Linked DNA regions of Mytilus edulis. The protein of the gene in region 1 binds, or shares a complex with, the protein of each later gene. Links are inferred from orthologs where the notes say so. Each region holds a gene or a part of one and is shown on either strand. Other genes may lie near its edges. The genes, in order: methylmalonyl-CoA mutase, mitochondrial-like; methylmalonic aciduria type A protein, mitochondrial-like.

Region 1 (10,299 bases):
GGTACAACCAGTTTGGAACAGAACAGAATTTCAAAGTCATTGAATCAGCATTTTGTTTTAAAATACAAATGTACTACCAAGTCTTATGCTTACAGCCACCATTGTCCACACAATATTTACATGGTTAAGTTAAGTAAAGCTGAAAAACTAAATCAGCAACATAGATCAGCTAACGTCATATACCACTGTTCAAGGAGTTCATATTTTAAACACCTTGTAAATCATGTTGACTTAAGTTTATCTGTCATTCTAATTGTATCAGTGAGGTTATTAATTATGTACAAGTGGAATGTTTTCATTGTTTATCAACAAAATAATATACTGGTCCTTTTCATTTAGTACCATGTGAATATATACTAAATTTAACATTGTTATCTTTGATTTCAGAACACATTTCTATCAAATTAATCCACATTGTAAAAGTCTGATTAACAGGTAAAGGTGTTTTATAACAATCTGCCTGAGAATAAGGCACTTGGTGAAATTGTGACAAACAAAAACTTGCTCAGCTTTACATAAATTGAAGTTCAGAATGTTAATTGGTATACTGTTTGTTTCCTTTCCCTGTTCTGGTAATTTAAGATATCATTTGGTTTAAAAACACTAGAAAATAACAATTAAGGGGAGATAACCTGTAATTTGCTATCATTCTAACCAATATATATCTAAATATTTGTTGAATTACCCGACATGCAGATACGAGAAAGTAACTCAGGTCACTATAACATTTAACAAACTTAATTCTATAATTCTTATTTCATGTACATGTAACAGATATAGAGCTGTCACAAATTAGTTTTAGATAGTGGAAGATTAAGTCTAATAAGAATTGGAATTCTACCAGTAGATTAAAATGGACCCCTTACATCATGTACACGCTCTACAAAATCAATTTCAGTTTAATCAATTGTGTCATAGTGTTAACATGTCAGAAATATGTAATTAGCAGGGTATTTTTTTCCATCAAATTTCTTAGTTTTTATGAAGGATTAGTTATATAATGGATTCTGGGTACAATCTTTGAACTGCATACAGCTGATGTACATTATTTATTAGTTTATACTTTAGATGTACAATATATGATATATAACAAGTCTTACCACCACATCCATCATACTAAAAATTTATATAAATTGCTTGTTTTGAATGTATATATTTAAAAAAATGATCATTCAAATCTATTTGATCATCCCATAGTTTATAACAACTAACCTTGCTAATTCTAATGGAGGCATTCCTTCATCAGCACCTCTCTTGAATCCTAAGAAAAAGAATAATAAAACAAGTTGCATTAATACAGTAAGTTACTAACTATGGTTACTTAACTATAGGTGAACAATGATTAATGCATACATGTCATGGCCATGTTAATTTTAAACTAACTTGAGAAAAAGAAATGTTAAAACTTTTTTATACAGATATGATCATGGATATAAAAAAAACTGAAACAAGTCAGAGATTATCTGTTCCCTAACTTTCCTTTGATATATTTTTTATATGTATATTAACATGGGATATGTCTGAAATAATAGAAAAACAAAAGATTTTGGGTTTCCATCCCTGTCAAAAAATATCACTACTTACATACCAAAAAAAGCAAAGGCATTTTCTAACCAATGCACATAATAAGTCATGCATTACATGAGGGTCTTGATTGGGGGTCTATAATTGTAAGTCATTTTTCTCTATTCAGACTTTTATTTATATTTCTAGACCATTATATTATGAATCTCTATTGTTTTTGTTTCTCTAAATCCCATTAAATATCGACTCAGGGACAGTAAAAGAGAAACAACAAAAACCAAAATGTGTTATTATTGGTCCTGAAAACAAACAGAAATCTAACTTTGTTAACCAGAAATTGATGCTAGCAATAATTATTTGAAACTTCTAAAAATCACGAAAAGAATATTTTGACGAATCGCAGTAAAATTTAACCAATTTGAAGCAAACGGAAGCAGTAAATTACTATTTGACGCCCGACAGTTAAGGGCATTACTACCCTCATACATATCGATAAAAGATCTTGCCATAGACTGTCTAGGGTATGATAGACAGAAATCAAAGCGCTGTAAGCGCTGAAGGCAGTTAACCAAAAACCAAGGCAACCGTAATTATGAAAACTGTGGCAATGTTGCCTCAACATTAAACATTCATATATAGTACATTCATGTTTATCTAATGATTTATTTATTAAGGCAAATAATTTATATGTTATCAAGGTTTCAAAAGCAAAGCATATATCAATGTATATTTTTTTATGGTGAGTCTGCAGTGGTACAAGTTCCCAATGATTGCAGTTGTTCTACTTGGTAGTTAACCTTGGTTTTATTTGACTGCTAGAAGTTCAATTTGACATAGTATGAACATGTAATAGTATGAATGGACTGGTTTCCCTGGAAAGAAAACTGAGTTTGTGTTCTGTAGTACAAAAGTTATGAGACACGAATCAGACAAATGTTCACTACAACAGGGATCAAAGATGAGGTCTGACTGACTTGCCCATATATAGTAAATGTAAATGATTTGTTATTTTGTCCCATACATATGAATATATATAATTTAGGGGTGGGGATCTCAACGGTTTTCAAGTTCTCAAACAGGTAGGGGTAGGCAGAGGATTTAGGGGGCAGGGGGCCAGGCCCCCCTTTTTGGGAAAAAATTTGGTTGCTTATATAGGGAATCACTGAAGCGTGACTGAAGCGGGCCCCTCTTAGGTCAGTCAGTGGGCCCCACTTATGAAAATTTCTGGATCTGCCACTGGGGGTAGGGTGACCCTAGGGACTTCCCCTACATTTCATTTTATTTGTTATATTGTCCCATACATGAATATATATGGTTTAGGGGTGGGGATCTCATTGGTTTCCAAGTTCTCAAACAGGAAGGGTAGGGTGACCCAAGGGACTCCCCCTATATTTCATTTAATTAGTTATATTGATCCATACATGAATATATATTGTTTTGGTGTGGGGGATCTCGACCGTTTCCAAGTTCTCAAACAGGAGGGTTGGGATGACCACAGGGACTTCCCTTATATTTCATTTGATTTGTTATATTGTCCCATACATGAGTATATATGGTTTAGGGGTAAGGATCTTGACCATTTCCAAGTTCTCAAACAGGAGGGTGAACAGTGACCTCAGGGACTCCCCCTATCTTTCATCTGATTTGTTATATTGTCCCATACATGAATATATATGGTTTAGGGATGGGGATCTCGATCCATTTTTAAATTCTAAAACAGGAGGGGTGGGGTGACCCCTAGCGACTCTTCCTATATTTCATTTGATTTTTCATATCGTCACAAACATGAATATATATGGTTAAGAGGTGTGGATCCTGACCGTTTCCAAGATCTCAAACAGGAGGGGGTGGGGTAACTCCAGGGACTCCCCCTATATTTCATTTTTTATTTATTATATTGTCCTATACTTGAATATATGCAGGGGAGGATTCAGACGGGGGAGGGTTGCGGGCTTGCACCCCCCCTTAAATTTGCAAAGCATGGGTTGTTCTCAGCTTAATAAAGAAAATTCCGATAATTTTAACCTAAAATCCTGGATCTGCCCCTCATATGGTTTAGAGGTGGGGAGCTCGACCGTTTCCAAGTTATCAAACAGGAGGGGTAGAGTGGCCCAAAGAATGCCACCTATATATCATATGATTTACTTACATTAAGGTATATGTAATATAGTTGCATTATTTGTGAAAATAAAGAATGAAACTTTCAGCTACTTTAATTGACCCTTCAAAATTGAGAAAAAAACAAATAACCCCTCGAAATCGCAGTAATATGTTTACACTTTAAAAGCATCTCACATGCATTATCATCATTTATCATTTATAAAGAAAATTTAGACTGTGACCATGAACATGTATATTGTTAGATATACTGTTCCCAGCTGGCACGTTGTATTGGATTTTTAAATTAAAATTTATCAAAAAGTAATTTTTAGTTTCTGAATAAAATATTTTTCTGCTTTTTCTTTCTTTTACATATATCTTTTGGTTTACAATACTAGTGTTTATTTTCATTTACCATGCATAGATGTATTTTTCAACTGCTTAGATTTATTTTGTAAATGATCGTCAAACCCGGAATTACCCTTATCCGCTCCCGGAATCGGATCCGATTTTGTAAAATTTTGTCTTCACGGCCGCCATTGTTATGTGTTTACAATGTTGTTTTTGTCAATCAGATACGATTTTACTCGAATTTATACAATATTTGTCGGCGATTTTCTGTATAAAGCTAGCGGTTGAACAAAATGAACATCGCCGTCATGAATAATAATGATAAAAATAAGTTTTTAGCTCGTTTAATTGGAGACTTTGGTGAACATGGTGAAAAGGTTTGCAAAGTAAATTCTTATTTTCTTTCAAATGTAAGGCGACTACGTCGGGCGTAGCTAGAAACCAACTATCCTAGTCGAAGTTCCGCTTGCAAAAGTGGAAGGTCTCGGACCACCGCTAATTTGCACACCTGCCTCCAAATTGAAAAGCTACGAAAATTTCTTTTTCTAATTTGAAATTGCCGCCAACAGCATGAACAGTTGAATTATATAATAGACTACTGATGTAGTTGTACTACGTATTGATGACAAATAATATTCCTACGACTTTTGTCATTTGGGAAATCTAAACTGCTTGTCTTAAGAGATTTTCGGCGATTAAATATTTCATACAATTGTTCTTTGACATCTTAGCTAAAAGCACAAGTCATAATGAACTACACAAGGATTTTTAATAAGCACTACTTCCTATGTGTAACTTTAAAACTTTTGGATAAATCGACGATCATTTACGGTTTTTCTGGTCATTTTTTTTGTAATCCAGAATAAAAAGTATTAAAAAAGTGTTCAATTAGTTATATATAACATAGTAACAAGCTAGATAATAACAATGGCAAGTATTTCAGGATTTATTGGGTAGAACAAAAATCTAGGGTGCTCGCATAATGCAGCTTAACTGCATAAAAAGTGCCCTAGTTAGTAATAAACTACCAAATGAAATAAAATGTTGTGAAAACCTGGACACTTTTAAACAAAAATGTGTTGATTTCTTGACTATAAATGATTTATAACAACTTACTCAAATATTCTAATGATTTGTATGTTATGTATATATATTTGTAGAGTTGTCACTGACTCAGACGTACTTATAAATATAATTATTTTCTGTGACTGTATATTACATTAATTTGTAGGATCCTTTACTATAGATAATTTAGCTGATCTGTAACAATAACATCTTCATGCCTCATATATCATGTACTGTAGTACGCCGCTAGATTAAAACTGACGAGGAAAGGTAACACACGGCCAGCGAAAGCTCTTTTTTGAGAGCCCAGGTGGTCGTGTGGTCTAGCGGGACGGCTGCAGTGCAGGCGATTTGGTGTCACGATATCACAGTGGCATGGGTTCGAATCCCGGCGAGGGAAGAACCAAAAATTTGCGAAATCAAATTTACAGATCTAACATTGTTGGGTTGATGTTTAGACGAGTTGTATATATATGAATTTATTTTTCTCTTGTTCTAGACAGTTTATAGTAAGAATGAATAGTGCATTTACATAATATGTTAGAAACTGTAAGCTTTGTAATATTGTGAGGGCCTCAAGGTAGATTAGTGAAAGCTAATTGAGTCACCCTCTTTAAATAAAGCCATTACTTACATGTACTTACTTACTTACTTACAAGTTCTGAGAGGAGTGCTATAGTTAAAATCAGCACTATAAATCTAACTGACCTATTGACGATTTTGTTTTTTTTTATTTCTAAAACCTAAATTACCCATATATAAAACTGTTGGAATGAATCCATATTGAAATGTTACTCTAACAAGTTTAAGAACAGAGGAAAGTCTCTTTTTAGCTTCTGGACTCATGTCTGCCATAGCTTTACTTTTAAGGTTAATGTTGAAATAACGTACAATTTCATTGGTTAAAAGTTTCTTTCAACCAATCAAAACCAGCCTTTCATCTGACAACAAAAATGTCTGCGCCCATGCACAACGATTTTTCAATGATTTCAAGGTCTTTTTATGCTTTATCATTCTTATCATTACTCTTTTATTGCAAATTTCTAAGCATCTTTAAAATATTAAGTAAAATTATCATTAACGACCTTATGAAAAAGAGAGAAAGTATACTATTTGCAGAAAAACGTCTATTCCATTCGGAATACACAAGTTTTTACGTAATAAAACCTGACCTTGAGAAAACATTCGTATGCCCCCGGTTTTTTCCTTGTCTAGTGCTAAGCCCACAGAGAAACCTCGTAAAAACAAATAATGTATAAAATACGAAATGTCACTGGCCGGTTTCTATGCAGACAAACATTACAGGTATATTTGAACCTTGAAAAAAGAAATCAAGAGAATGCCACTTCCATGAAAACAGTTTAAACTCGAAAAGACTCACACAACTTCACAAGTGAAGAGTGAAGAGGTTTATAGCTTAGAGAAACTTGAGCTGTAAAGACATTTCGGCCCTGGCATATTTTGTTTCGGACATTAACGTCTGCAGCCCTGTCATTTCATACTTACTTTCATTGTACTAAAAAAAACCAGGCTTCCCTCTACATGGTGTCTGTCACTGCGTCTCTCTGTCCTGTCTGGTTAGCGCTTTCATGTGTGCAATTCTTGCAAGATTTTTATTAACAGTATATCATCTAGGTTTATATCAGCAATGTCATGGATGAGTAGAAAAATCAGTGCCAATCAATTACTTTTTTATACGCCCGTTTAGTGTATTATGGTATACCGTCATGACCCTTGGCGTTGTCCGTATGTCTGTCTGTCCATCGTCAACATGTCGGACATTTCATGTAACTCCAAAACGCTTTACCCAATTTGCATAAAACTTAGTGAATTGCATTTTTCTATTGATGTTGGCTCCCTTTTGTTATTTCATAAATTTTATATTTTAGGTTTCAGAGAGGGGTTTAATTCATTAATAGAGTGTGTGGGTTTTTTTTATCTATTGACACAAGCTCCCTTTCAAATTTTGATTGTGCATTTCCAAGTTTAGTTATGGCAGGAACATACTGTTCCCAGGTTATGGGGTTTTATTCATTAAAAAAAGGAGGATTTTCTAGTTTTCAGACGTACATTACTTTTATAGCGCTTTGAGCAGTTTTCAATAAACATTTTTGCCTGTCTATTAAGATAACTTCCCTTTAGTTTTTCATAAATTTCTGATATATGACATTGAGAAGTTATTGCACTTTATTCTTAGAAAACATAAGGGGTGTATCATGCACTCCTGGCGCAGCTGTTTATTAAAATAGTTTTGACCCTACATGTATATAGCTAAGAAACATTAATTTTTGTGCAAATTCTCAAAATTGCATTGTGAATGCTGTCATGTGTTCAATTCTTGCCAGATTTTTTATACAACAAATATCATAGTTGATTATATTTAATGTGAACAATGTCTTTGACTAGTTAGTCAGTGAGGAGTTAGCAAAGAGTTATGCCCCTTGAAAACATTAAATATCTATGGAAAATTGCATTGTTACATGAAGCACTGAGACTCATATCTTCAATTTTTGAATTAAATCACAGGTTTATATATATCAGCAATGTCTCTGGCAAGTTCAAAAATCAGTGCTGATCAATCATTTTTAGAAGAGTTTATTAAATATGTGGGAAATTGCTATAGAGGATCCATCTATGCATCCTTCCATCCGTCCCATCTTGTTGACGCTTCAAGTGTAAAATTTTTACCAGAATTTTATAAACATTATATCATAGGTTTATAATATCTCTTGCAAGATTTTGAAAATTACTGCAGATCAATAATTTTTAAAAGAGTCATGTCCCTTGGAAATTAATAATATTGAAAATTGTCCTTTTGTCCAATCTTCAATTCTTGTCAGATTTTTATGAAACTTATATTATAGGTTTTATATCAGCAATGTCTTGGATGAGTATGAAAATAAATGCCAATTAATTTTTTTTTTTTTTATAAAGTTTTTGATAAAACATCATTACTTAAGTGTAATGAAGTTATTCCTTGAGGTTAAACAAGGTATAGAAAATGAAGAATGTATATCAAAATCTTTTTTAATGTAAAATAAAAGAACCCAGTTCCAATGTCCCTAAATTGCACATATTTTTTCTATCCTAGCTGTGTCAAAATTATGGTAAAAATTTAAAATGGAAAAGCCTCAAAGAATGAATGAAAACTAATTAGATTATGTGTGCTATTCAAGATCCAGCATGACATATTAAACATAGATTTTCAACATTATTTGACTTTAAACAATAACCGAACCAGAGGTAAAAACAGAGTCTACTAAGAAAGAACCAGTGCAGATGCCAACAGGTAATCTTTCCGTAAATCTTTCATTTAAAATGTAAATAGCCAAGAGAGAACTTTCTGTGTTAATGCCAGTCACTGTGCAAAGTTTTCGTGCAGATCCATGTAATTCAAATATTGAAATCCAGTCCCTTTTCTGAAAGAAGAAGAAGAAGAGTTGGTTTCTATCACACTGGATTCACTTGACTTTGACCCCATATCATGGACCTATGATCACCAGTACTAGTTTCAAGTGGTTTATATAACAAACTGTGCTCCCAAGCAATCATTTAGCGACACTTGGCTGTTCTTTTTGTGGACTATTATGTTTTGTTTTATGGTCTGTTTGATAGTTTCACAATAGTTCTTTAAATAAATGAGTTTATACTCTACTTCTACAGAGAACTGCACCAGTATGCTGCAGATGTTTACACATATACTCTACTTTTACAGAGAACTGCACCAGTATGCTGCAGATGTTTACACAGAGAACCAATAGATCAATCATGGAAAGAGAAAGCAAAGAAAGAAATCAAAGGAAAAGATCCAGATGATGTCCTGATGTGGCAGACTCCTGAGGTAAATTGTCATCATCATGATCATTGGATAAATTTTTCCAGGTGTACAAGTTTCTCTGTACTCATAGTGAAATTTGAGGTGTAAATACCGCCACATTTCATGTATTTACAAAAAGGTTATGATGAACCTTATATTTTGTTTTTGTGTGTAATTTTTATGCCCCCATCGTAGCAGAAGAGGCATTACGTTGCTCCTCATATTTTGAACACATTTGAATACTATTTGTAGATGATAAAACTGTTCAGTAGCATTCTTCATGTTTACCTAGGAGGTATCCATTTTGTGTAAAAAGAAAAAACTGCTCCTACAGTTTTAAACACATAGACAAACTTTTTTTAATATATTTTTCACCTTACTTAGTGTACTTATTAAGATGATCCTTGCCGACTTTTCAGATTGTGAAATTTAGTCATTTTTCTTGATGAAGGGTACAATTTATTATAATTTGGTCCATACTTACTTACACCTCCATGAAGTTTAATTTTCTATTGTTAAAGAAATCAGGTCATAGTAATGTATCAGGTAACAATAAGTTAAGTTGAAGATATATATTTAATTTCAGGGCATCAATGTTAAGCCAGTTTATACAAAGAAAGATACAGAACATGTGGAGAAAGAACTTCCAGGCCTATATCCCTACACAAGGGGACCTTATAGTACAATGTACACATACAGACCTTGGACCATCAGACAGGTTAGTGGATACACAAGGTCTATATAGTGTAGAGTGTTAAAACAGAGACTTTCAAACAAGATTTTCATACGTATGCTGTCCCTATATCACAGTGTATACATTCTGACTTTATATATCAGACATTCTAGTAGACCTCTTAACTAGAATACCGTTAATTCAGAAATGTTTGTGTTAACTGTTGCCATGTTCAACAAAGAATGGACAAACATATTACATCAATTGTGATTTAAGAAATGAAGCAAAGATATAATGCATGTTATCAAAATATAAAAGTGAATTGAAAAGGTTGAAAAGTTAAATGAAAACATTGTACATACAGACACTAGTTCTCTGTCAAATACAGGAGAGAACACATTGAGTAATATCCTTACAGAAATAGTTGCAACAGATAAACTGTCTTTTTCAACATTAATCCTTCAACTATGAGACCAAGATCCATAGATAATAACTTGAAAAAGAAAGGATGTATGGTAGTTGTCAATGAGTCAAAATGTGAGAATACAAAGGGAAACTTTCATTTAAATATTGATTGATTAATTAGAAAGATTACATTCACTTCTCTTATTTTCCTACAATAAAAATACCAACAACAACATGAAATGAAACAAATAAATATGATAAATAGAAGCTGTAAATTCACACCATATATAAAAACTGTTTAACAATAAAGTTTTGTCTCATTTTAAAAGTATGCAGGATTCAGTACTGTAGAAGAAAGTAACAA
Region 2 (10,568 bases), on another chromosome or scaffold:
TTTTTATGAGATCAAATCCACTCTTCTTATTGTTGCATTATTTTACCAAAAACCTTGCTGTACGTGTATTTGACAAAACATTGTTAAAATATATTGTAATAAAACATATGTGATATTATCCTTTTCTTTAGTATGTATCTTCTCCTCTGATTTTATTTTAGGCCAGCCCCTTTAATAAAAACTCTATAGTCACTATAGACATATTGATATCCATGGCTTATGGATCTGTGGTAACACACACACACACAGTATTGTATTTTGGTACTCTGTTACTGGAAGCTAGTTCAAAGTTAAAACCAACTAATATTAAAAAATCATGTATCTAATTGATATCAATCAGTTCACATATATAACATCCAATTGAGTTTGATGGAAAAAGCGTCAATTTGGAAGACATTGTCCAATGACCCCTTACAGTGGAATGATAATGATTTTTGAAAAATAAAATCAACAATGTAAACATTAAGTCAACATGGTTGAAATGATGAAATCGTTAATGAATCTGAGAGGAGAAATATTTCCCTTGAAAGATTATTTAAAGAGAGGAACAGTAAAATGTCCAGCACATTAGAATTAGTCAGCATGACTGAAATTGTTAATTGACTCTTTATAGAAGTTATTTCACCTAAATGATTTTTTTATCCGTTTTCTCAAAACTAGAGGATTTTTACATAGGGATAGTGATCCGGTGGCGGCGGCGTTAGCTAACTTCTTAAAAGCTTTATATTTTAGAAGGTAGAAGACCTAGATGCTTCATACTTTGTACATGTATATGGATGCCTCATGTTACGAAGTTTCCGTCAGTCACATGTCCAATGTCCTTGACCTCATTTTCATGGTTCAGTGACTACTTGAAAAGAAAGTTAACATTTTTGGTAATGTTAAATTCTCACTTATTATAAGTAATAGGATAACTATATTTGATATGTGCGTACCTTGCAAGGTCCTCATGCCCATCAGACAGTTTTCACTTGACCTCGTGGAAAGAAGTTTTGGTGGTCAAGTCCATACCTCAGATACTATAAGCAATAGGTCTCCTGTATTCGGTGTATGAGGGGGGATAGGACCTTTATCGGGACTCCGGGATCAGGTGTTTTTAAGCTCGGGATTTCGGGATCAGGGAATCCTTTTTTTTGGATTTCGGGATGTCGGGATTTGCTTTACACCAATAGGTCTACTATATTTGGTGTATGGAATGATTGAAAGGTGTACATGTCTAGCTGGCAGGTGTCATCTGACCTTGACCTTATCTTCATGGTAATCAGTGGTCAAAATTAAGTTTTTGAGTTTTGGTCTTTTTTTCTAATACTAATTGCAATAGGTCAACTATATTTGGTGTATGGAAAAATGTAATGATCTATTTGTTAGTCGCACAGGTTTATTTGACCTTGACCCCATTTTCATGGTTCATTGCTCAGTGTTATTTTTTTGTGTTTTGGTCTGTTTTTCTTAAACTATAAGCAATAGGTCAACTTTATTTGTTGTACGGAAGAATTGTTAGCTGTACATGCCTGCCTTGCATGGTTCATCTGACCTTGACCTCATTTTCATGGTTCATTGGTCAATGTTTAGTTTTCTTGGTTAAGTTTATGTGACAGTTGTAATAAAGCTTTATATTTAGGACTATCAACATAAAATCAATGATTAGTAAAGAAGGCGAGACATTTCAGCCTGTGCACTCTTGTATTTCAGAAGGTAAAAGATGTGAATTGTTCAAAGTCATAGTATGAAGATAACTTAAATTACAAAGGTTCCAATTCTCGTTTGTCCATTGTCATTATCCTTATTTTCATTGTCCAGCAACTGCTTTAAAACATTTTTATTCCCCTGATGTAGCTGAGTGGGCATTAAGTTTTATCCTTGTCCATCTGTATGTCCATTCTTCCAAAAGTTGGTTTCCAATCTCTAACTTCAGGCCTGAACCAACTGTTTTAAAACTAATACACAATGAATATTACCACAAAACACAGATCAAGATGTTTGGTTTCCATTCTCTAACATAAGTTTGTCTGAATCAAATGTAACGAAACTTATTCACAATGCATTACCACATAACACAGATTAAGTTTGAATTTCGGTCGGGTCACTTTAACTGTTCTAGAGTTATGCCTCTTAGGGACGACATCAAAAGTTCAATGTAGGATAAAAAACTTAATTCACATAGTTTTTTCACTGACCCCCCCCCCCCCCCCCCCCCCCCTCTTAACTTAATTTGGGAAAAATTGATTTACCAATAGGGATATATGTAAAAATCGATTTTTGATATACAAAACTTGCAGAATTTTAACCCCCCTTCCCCCCCAAACTATTTGATTTAAGTTTTTTATCCTACATCGATCTTTTGATGTCGTCCCTTACATGTCTTTATAAATGAAAAAAAAAATTGCTGAATGTTTAGTTTCCGTTCTCTAACTTCAGTTTGCCTCAACTAAATGTTATGAAACTGATACACAAAAATTAAGCTTATTACAACAAAACATAGATTTATTTCAAATTTTGGGGGCATCACTTTAACTGTTCTAGAGTTATGCCCCATTAAAAGTGGGAAATTGCTGAATTTTTAGTTTCCGTTCTATAATTTTAGTTTGTCTCAACCAATTGTTATGAAACTGATACACAATGCTGATGACCACATATCACAGATCAAGTTCAATTTGGTAGTGTCACTTTAACAGTTCTAGAGTTATGTCCCTTTATAAGTTGGAAAGTTCAGTGCTGAATTTTAGATTCCCCTCTATAATTTTAGTTTGTTTCGACCAATTGTTATGAAGCTGATACACAATGCTGATGACCACAAAACACAGATCAAGTCACGACGAGTGTGAATTTTGGTGGGGTCACTTAAACTGTTCTAGAGTTATACCTCTATATATAACTGGAAAGGAAAAAATTCTGAAGTTTTAGTTTCTGTTCTCTAACTTAAGTTTGCCTCAACCAAATGTTATGAAACTTATGCACAATACTCATTACCACAAAACTCTGATCAAGTACGAATTTGGGTAGTGTGGCTTTTACCGTTCTTTAGTTTTTGCCCTTTTATAATTTTATATGATATGCAATCGGGGGCATCATCTATGTCCCATGGACACATTCCCAATCCCCATTTATTCTTCTGTGAAATACTCTCCAGTGGTCGATGTAAGGATTTTAAATTCGTCTTGCCTGGAAGGAAAACAACAGTTATAACAGTGAGATATAGGTATAACAATCCATTGTTGATTGTGTGGAGAATTTGTTTAAATGTTGAAATTTCAGAAGGTAGACTGAGAACTGAATGCTTCATACCTTGTGTGCAGATACCTTTATATGTTATAAAGTTTCCATTTGTCATATTTCCATTGACCTTCACCTCATTTGTTGTTAAGTGAACTAGAATCTGTTTAAAGGATTTTAAATTGACTAAATCAATGTTTTGCGACACATACATGTTACTATCTTCTTGTATTATGACTGATATATTTGTCGCTGGACATGAAGCAGATTCATCAATTACAAGTTCTTTTGCATGCCTTGTAGAATCTATTAACTGGAATTTCAAATTAACTTAAGTAATGTTTAGCCACACATACATGTTACTATCTTTTTGAATTATGACTGATATATTTGTCGCTGGACATGAAACAGCTACATCAAATATAAATTGTTCATCGATGCTTTGTAGAATTGATTCATTTATTGAGAAACACATTACAAATGTCAATTTGTACTTGATTAATACAAATATATGATTATGAAGGATAGGCAGGCTTAAAAGAAAAGTAGGAAGGGTAGAAACATTAGAGGTAGAGCCTGCGTTTAAAAGGTCTTTGTGTCCATCACAACTTGTGTATGGTTACCTTTTATTTTTAACTTTATATGAAGTTAAACTTATTTAAGGTAAAGTAAGTTTGTTGTATACCTTTAGGTCGACACCTTTATGTATAGAATTTGTTTCCTTAATACGAAAGGGTGTGGTTTATGTCCAAGGATTGTGAAATTTCTCAGAGGCTGTATCGTGCAGTCGTTATTTTGATACATCATTTGGTAGCTAAGTAGACATGTCGTTGGGAAGCACAACTGTGCTACACTGACTGTGTCTGTAAGGTTTTTATGCGGTGCAAAAATGTTTTTAAAAAAATATCAATACAGCTACGTCTCTGCTAAACTGAAGTTTCTAGGCTTCAGCTCTGGGGTTCCCAGTGAAGACATTTTTTTAAACACAAATTTAAGATTTACAGTTACTAAATTAAAAAAACAGGTCGTTTTTGAAATAAATTACATCATTTCTTCTTTTTCTATTTTAAAAGTCCTTTGAACTTCTCTTCTGAATTTTCTCACTATATTTTACATGAAATAACACCTTAACTGCATGTTCAAAAATATAAAGTGTGTAAAAACAGAATGTGGGGTAAACGTCAATGAGACAGCTACATTAGTCCTAGCGACAACAATAACCAAACGACATGTGCACGCTGAACGGAGAAAAGGGGATGGGAGTTTCCCTCAATGGGACAGCATTCCAATGACTACAGATATATATGAATGACATATTCACTTTGCTGATGCTACCATTTTTGTGGTCTTTTTTTCTACTGATAAAAACTGTCCGCAATGAAAAAGGTAAACAATAATCTGTTTAAAGGATTTTAAATGACTACGAAATAAAAGAAGACTCAGAAGAAAGGTGGGAAAGGTAAAGCATTAGAGGCGGGCCAAAGGGTCTTTGATTGGGTCAATCACAGCATATGTGTGGTGGCCTTACATTTTTAACTTTATATTACTAGTAAGTTAAACTTATTGAAGGTAATGCAAGTTCGTTGTTCGTTGTTCAAATTTACAGTTACTGAATAAAACAAAAGTTGAAATCTGTAGAAAATTTCATTTACTAGTTACATATATCAATTTATATTTATGTTTATGATATGTTTAGGCAACTTTGTTTATATCATGTTATGTGACCGTCGGTTGTTTTCTGGGTCATCTTGATAGTTAATACCCACGTAACGAAACTACATATAATCGAGCCCGGGCCATACCTGTTCATTTTTTTTATTCTACCCTTTTTATAATTTGGATAAACGTTTTACAATTGTTATAAATCTAATATGAGAATTTGAGTAAAATCGGTGAACATGAACCTTTAACCTTTTCTTGCACCTCAGCATATTAGTTTAAACAGCATATTGTAATTAACTCAGTAATTTTATGGTTTAAACTGAGCTGTAATGATTATCCTATAATTTGATAATGATATTGCCTTTACTCATTTATCTTTACATAAGTTTTAATGCTCCTTAAGTATTAAAACTGAGACTTCTATAACTATATGTGATATAGTAATCCCAGATTAAAATGTCTATAATATGATTGCTGCAATTATACCTCATGGGTAGTGCTCCACAAATAATGGAGGAACATACATACAAACAACTGAATTGAACTAAATGTTACAATATTTCTGTAAGGATTGTATATACACAAATTTATTCCGTTCCTTGTTTTTAAACAATATTAAATAAAAATTAGGGCCTTTTTTTTAACCGTGTGACACGGGTGCTCCGCTGCGGAGGAATTTACTTAGAGAAGAAGTTAAAACAGTCAGATTGTCGTTTCTCTCCCCACCAGCTTTTTGGCCGTTCTTTTTTTTTTTAGAATTCTGACAGCTATCATCATTGTTGTTTTTACATTGTAGGTACAATTACTCCTTTAAAAATCTTAGCCATTTAATAGGAAAATATGAAAATGGTGTGTTTTTATTCATATCACCTGATCATCAGAGACATATATATTTATATGTCTCTGATATCACATAGCAGTTTTCTTCTGCGTTTCCTACTATAGATCAGTTCTGAGCTTGTCTCAGGGAAGGTCGACTATATAAAGAACATCCGTTGTTCGACCTGTTAGTAAAATGCGTTTTGTTTTAATATACTACATGTACTTCACTTTTTTGGTCTTTTGGAAAATGTTGTTTGTACTGCTGTATTTAGACCCTTCTACAAATTTGTTTTACATGCACATGTATAAACATGGCGGTTTTTATCGAACGCAATCATAGGTTTGAACGTAGTTTTCAATTTAGACTCGCATATATCACTATAATGTATATATACATATTCTATATATGGATAGTCGACCTTCCCATGGATAGAAACAAGTACCTGTGGCTTCTGTCAAGCATTTATCTCTCAGAAACAAATTACTGAGGGTACTCAGTGGCGGATCCAGAAAAAAATTTGGAGGTGGTCCCAAACGAATATTGAATGGTATGAAAAAGGTTAAAAAATACCTTCGACATTATGGAAGATCATGAATTTGGACAACACCATGCAAAATGCACATATTCCTAGGTAAAGGAATTTAAAGACATGTAAAAATGATTTTTTATTTAAGACTCTATCCAATATCTTGCAATCTAAAATAGCACAACATACAACTGTCATCTGAATTAGGCAAGCTGTAAAAAAAGTTTAGCTAAAATGTTCTGAATCGGTAAAAATAGTTCTACGTAAAATTGTTCAAAATTTACTAATTTAACAAAGAGTCGTTTATCAGGTCATTCAACATCATGCGTTGCGGGTCTTTCCTTGCAAAGTTATCTATAATTTGTTTTATGTTTATATGATAATAAATATTCTAATATGACATATATATATGCATCTTTTGCTTTGTAAACAACACCGTGATAAATACTGGATACATGTATATCTATACTTAGCACATACTCAGAAATATACATACATTTGTGAAAATGGATGTTACAAAATACCTTCTTCATAAAAGTCGTTAATACACATGTATCTGATAGAAACCGTTTGCAATTGCTACATGTATGCCAATTTTATTGTTTTAAAATTTGCAATTGAAAAAGACTACAGAACTTCTATTCGTATTCTGATGCATAACAAACACAATTAATGCACTAGAGCCCAGAGAAATAACAAAATCAAAATAAAATAAAATTCTGTGAAAGTCCATAAATGCTTTTGGCACTTTTAATTCATTTCAAAACATGACATCATACAAATGAAAACGCTAAAGCTAAAGGTTTTTCCATTATGTCATTGTATGTGAACCATAGTTCGTATAATATTTCATTAAAATGGATTTTTTGAGGTAGGGTTAGCTTTATTTTCTGTTCTGTTGCATTATTCGCATATTTACTGATTTCAGAAAGTCAACATGGCGGCTCCTTAGTAATGAAATGTCACCTTTGGATTTGATGATATCTTAAGAAAAGAACATGTAAATTAAAAATGGCAAATGTTGAATTTGAGATTTAAAAGAATTAAACATATTTTTCCAGCGGTTATTTATGAAATAAGTCATGCAAACTACATATTTATCAGAATGTTTTAGCTTTATCTAACAAGGAGTAAAAAAGAACAGCTCCACACCCGGCATACCCTACCACGCTTCAGTTTTTTAATTACCTTATTTGTCCTATTAGAATTGAAATAATTCAACCTATTATACCATGTATACATGTGTACAATTTGGAGTTTATTATGGCGTTTATTATCACTGAACTAGTATATATATTTGATTAGGGGCCAGCTGAAGGACGCCTCCAGGTGCGGAGTTTCTCACTGCATTGAAGACCTGTTGGTGACCTTCTGCTATTGATCGCTATTGTCTGTTCCATGCATGGTCGGGTTGTTGTCTCTTTGACACATTCCCCATTTCCATTCTCAATTTTATGTTTACTGACAGAAACTTCCTTAAAATTATCTTTGCACCAAACTGAAGTAAGCATCTAACGCAAATGGAATTAATGGATGCATACAATGTATATTTCAAGTATATGTGGCTGACTTTAATAACTGTAATCTGTAATCTGTAATATATATTCTACCAATGTAGGCACACCTCTTCGGAGTATTGGAGTTCACAACATGAATAAAAATATCTTCCACCAATATCACTATACACTATTTACATTGTACATCATATTCTTGACGATAAAATTGGGCTTAATGTCAATATAGGCAGCATCAACTCATTAAATACTTTAAAATCTAAAATATTTATCTAAAAATACATGTATCACTGTTTAAGAGTAGACAACCAATCGTCACTTAGGATTCATATGATATAATGTTATTATCTAATTTCTCTTCTTTTTCTTTATATCATCTAATTGCAACAGTCTATACCTTTCACAATGGAGATTGTAACATAATTGTCCACATTTTGGATCTATAATGTTCTGTATCACTTTAAAAGCTTTTACATTTCTTAACATTGCCATGTAATTAAAGAGATCTATAATCAGTTGTTAAATGTCAAAATGTTCATCTTTAATATTAAAAACAGCTAACTCTTCACTACAGGAATTAATTAAATCTTCCAAAATTGGTTTTCTGATATCTTCTAGACTTTTACACGTTAATTAAAAATGTGGGAAAGTTTCTTCTGTTTCATTACACAGTTTGCATATGGACAGTTCTGTATTATTTGTAAACTTAGCTCTAACTGTTTGCAGAATGTAACTCCCAGTAGCTTTTTATACGACCGCAAAATTTGAAAATTTTTTCGTCGTATATTGCTATCACGTTGGCGTCGTCGTCGTCATCGTCCGAATACTTTTAGTTTTCGCACTCTAACTTTAGTAAAAGTGAATGGAAATCTATGAAATTTTAACACAAGGTTTATGACCACAAAAGGAAGGTTGGTATTGATTTTGGGAGTTTTGGTCCCAACATTTTAGGAATTAGGGGCCAAAAAGGGCCCAAATAAGCATTTTCTTGGTTTTCGCTCTATAACTTTAGTTTAAGTTAATAGAAATCTATGAAATTTTGACACAAGGTTTATGACCACAAAAGAACGGTTGGGATTGATTTTGGGAGTTTTGGTTTCAACAGTTTAGGAATCAGGGGCCAAAAAAGGGCCCAAATAAGCATTATTCTTGGTTTTCGCACAATAACTTTAGTTTAAGTAAATAGAAATCAATGAAATTTAAACACAATGTTAATGACTACAAAAGGAAGGTTGGTATTGATTTTGGGAGTTAATTAGGTCCCAACAGTTTAGGAATTAGGGGCCAAAAAGGGACCCAAATAAGCATTTTTCTTGGTTTTCGCACCATAACGTTAGTATAAGTAAATAGAAATCTATGAAATTTAAACACAAGGTTTATGACCATAAAAGGAAGGTTGGTATTGATTTTGGGAGTTTAGGTCCCAACAGAATAAGGGGCCCAAAGGGTCCAAAATTAAGCTTTGTTTGATTTCATCAAAATTGAATAATTGGGGTTCTTTGATATGCCGAATCTAATTGTCATGACTGTGTATGTAGATTCTTAACTTTTGGTCCCGTTTTCAAATATTGGTCTACATTAAGGTCCAAAGGGTCCAAAATTAAACTTAGTTTGATTTTGACAAAAAATGAATCAGTCAGGTTCTTTGATATGCTGAATCTAAAAATGTACTTAGATTCTTGATTATTGGCCCAGTTTTCAAGTTGGTCCAAATCGGGGTCCAAAATTAAACTTTGTTGATTTCATCAAAAATTGAATAAATGGGGTTCTTTGATATACCAAATCTAACTGTGTATGCAGATTCTTCATTTTTGGTCCTGTTTTCAAATTGGTCTACACTAAAGTCCAAAGGGTCCAAAATTAAACTTAGTCTGATTTTAACAAAAATTGAAATCTTGGGGTTCTTTGATATGCTGAATCCAAAAATGTACTTAGATTTTTTATTATGGGCCCAGTTTTCAAGTTGGTCCAAATCAGGATCTAAAATTATTATATTAAGTATTGTGCAATAGCAAGTCTTTTCAATTGCACAGTATTGCGCAATGGCAAGAAATATCTAATTGCACAATATTGTGAAATAGCAATTTTTTTTTTAATTAGAGTTATCTTTCTTTGTCCAGAATAGTAAGCAAGAAATATCTAATTGCAAAATATTGTGCAATAGCAAGATTTTTTTTTAATTGGAGTTATCTTTCTTTGTCCAGAATCAACTTAAATCTTTGTTATATACAATATACAATGTATATTCACTTTTTACTACCAACTGATAAATTAAAATAATCTTTACCATTCAGTGATAACAAGCAGTTTTTTTACATCTTAATATTTTATGATGTATTTAAATGAGTAGTTATTGTTGCAAACTCCATTAGAAATTTTAATTGAGATTAGTTTTGGAATAAGGGAAAGGGGGATGTGATTAAAAAAATTGGGTTCAATTTTTCTCATTTGAAATTTCATAAATAAAAAAGAAAATTTCTTCAAACATTTTTTTGAGAGGATTAATATTCAACAGCATAGTGAATTGCTCTAAGAGAAAACAAAAATTTTAAGTTCATTAGAACACATTCATTCTGTGTCAGAAACCTATGCTGTGTCAACTATTTAATCACAATCCAAATTTAGAGCTGAATCCAGCTTGAATGTTGTGTCCATACTTGCCCCAACCGTTCAGGGTTCAACCTCTGCGGTCGTATAAAGCTACGCCCTGCGGAGCATCTGGTTTCAATTTTGTAGGAATTCTAATAATTTCCCTTGAATTCGTAGTATTTGTATTTGCAATAGGATGACATTGACCTGGTTTATATATCAATGATAAATATTTTAAACT

What was found.
Region 2: the proteins of methylmalonyl-CoA mutase, mitochondrial-like (region 1) and methylmalonic aciduria type A protein, mitochondrial-like are in contact, whole or in part, in a crystal structure (PDB 8GJU), measured with the Homo sapiens proteins. The link is inferred for Mytilus edulis from reciprocal best matches to the Homo sapiens genes MMUT and MMAA. Residues at the interface, in NP_000246.2 of Homo sapiens: Lys496, Glu609, Arg610, Glu611, Gly612, Arg613, Arg614, Arg616, Ala635, Thr636, Ala639, Asp640, Gly642, Phe643, Asp644, Val645, Asp646, Ile647, Gly648, Pro649, Leu650, Phe651, Gln652, Glu656, Gln659, Gln660, Val662, Asp663, Ala664, Asp665; in NP_001362573.1 of Homo sapiens: Arg98, Ala99, Ala102, Glu103, Thr106, Glu109, Ser110, Thr111, His112, Ser182, Ser186, Gly187, Gly188, Ser189, Leu190, Leu191, Lys194, Thr195, Met197, Thr198, Ser201, Arg202, Met204, Tyr207, Ile208, Arg209, Pro210, Ser211, Pro212, Arg214.

What each region holds. Positions count from the first base shown.
Region 1 is NC_092345.1:96,461,978-96,472,276, reverse strand, and holds the start of methylmalonyl-CoA mutase, mitochondrial-like, read left to right. Parts: upstream 1-5,976; 5' UTR 5,977-6,291; coding exon 6,292-6,345; intron 6,346-8,755; coding exon 8,756-8,881; intron 8,882-9,443; coding exon 9,444-9,575; intron 9,576-10,264; coding exon 10,265-10,299. UniProt on the Homo sapiens protein: Catalyzes the reversible isomerization of methylmalonyl-CoA (MMCoA) (generated from branched-chain amino acid metabolism and degradation of dietary odd chain fatty acids and cholesterol) to succinyl-CoA (3-carboxypropionyl-CoA), a key intermediate of the tricarboxylic acid cycle.
Region 2 is NC_092351.1:36,713,282-36,723,849, forward strand, and holds the start of methylmalonic aciduria type A protein, mitochondrial-like, read left to right. Parts: upstream 1-5,554; 5' UTR 5,555-5,667; intron 5,668-8,481; exon of another isoform or gene 8,482-9,822; intron 9,823-10,568. UniProt on the Homo sapiens protein: GTPase, binds and hydrolyzes GTP. Involved in intracellular vitamin B12 metabolism, mediates the transport of cobalamin (Cbl) into mitochondria for the final steps of adenosylcobalamin (AdoCbl) synthesis.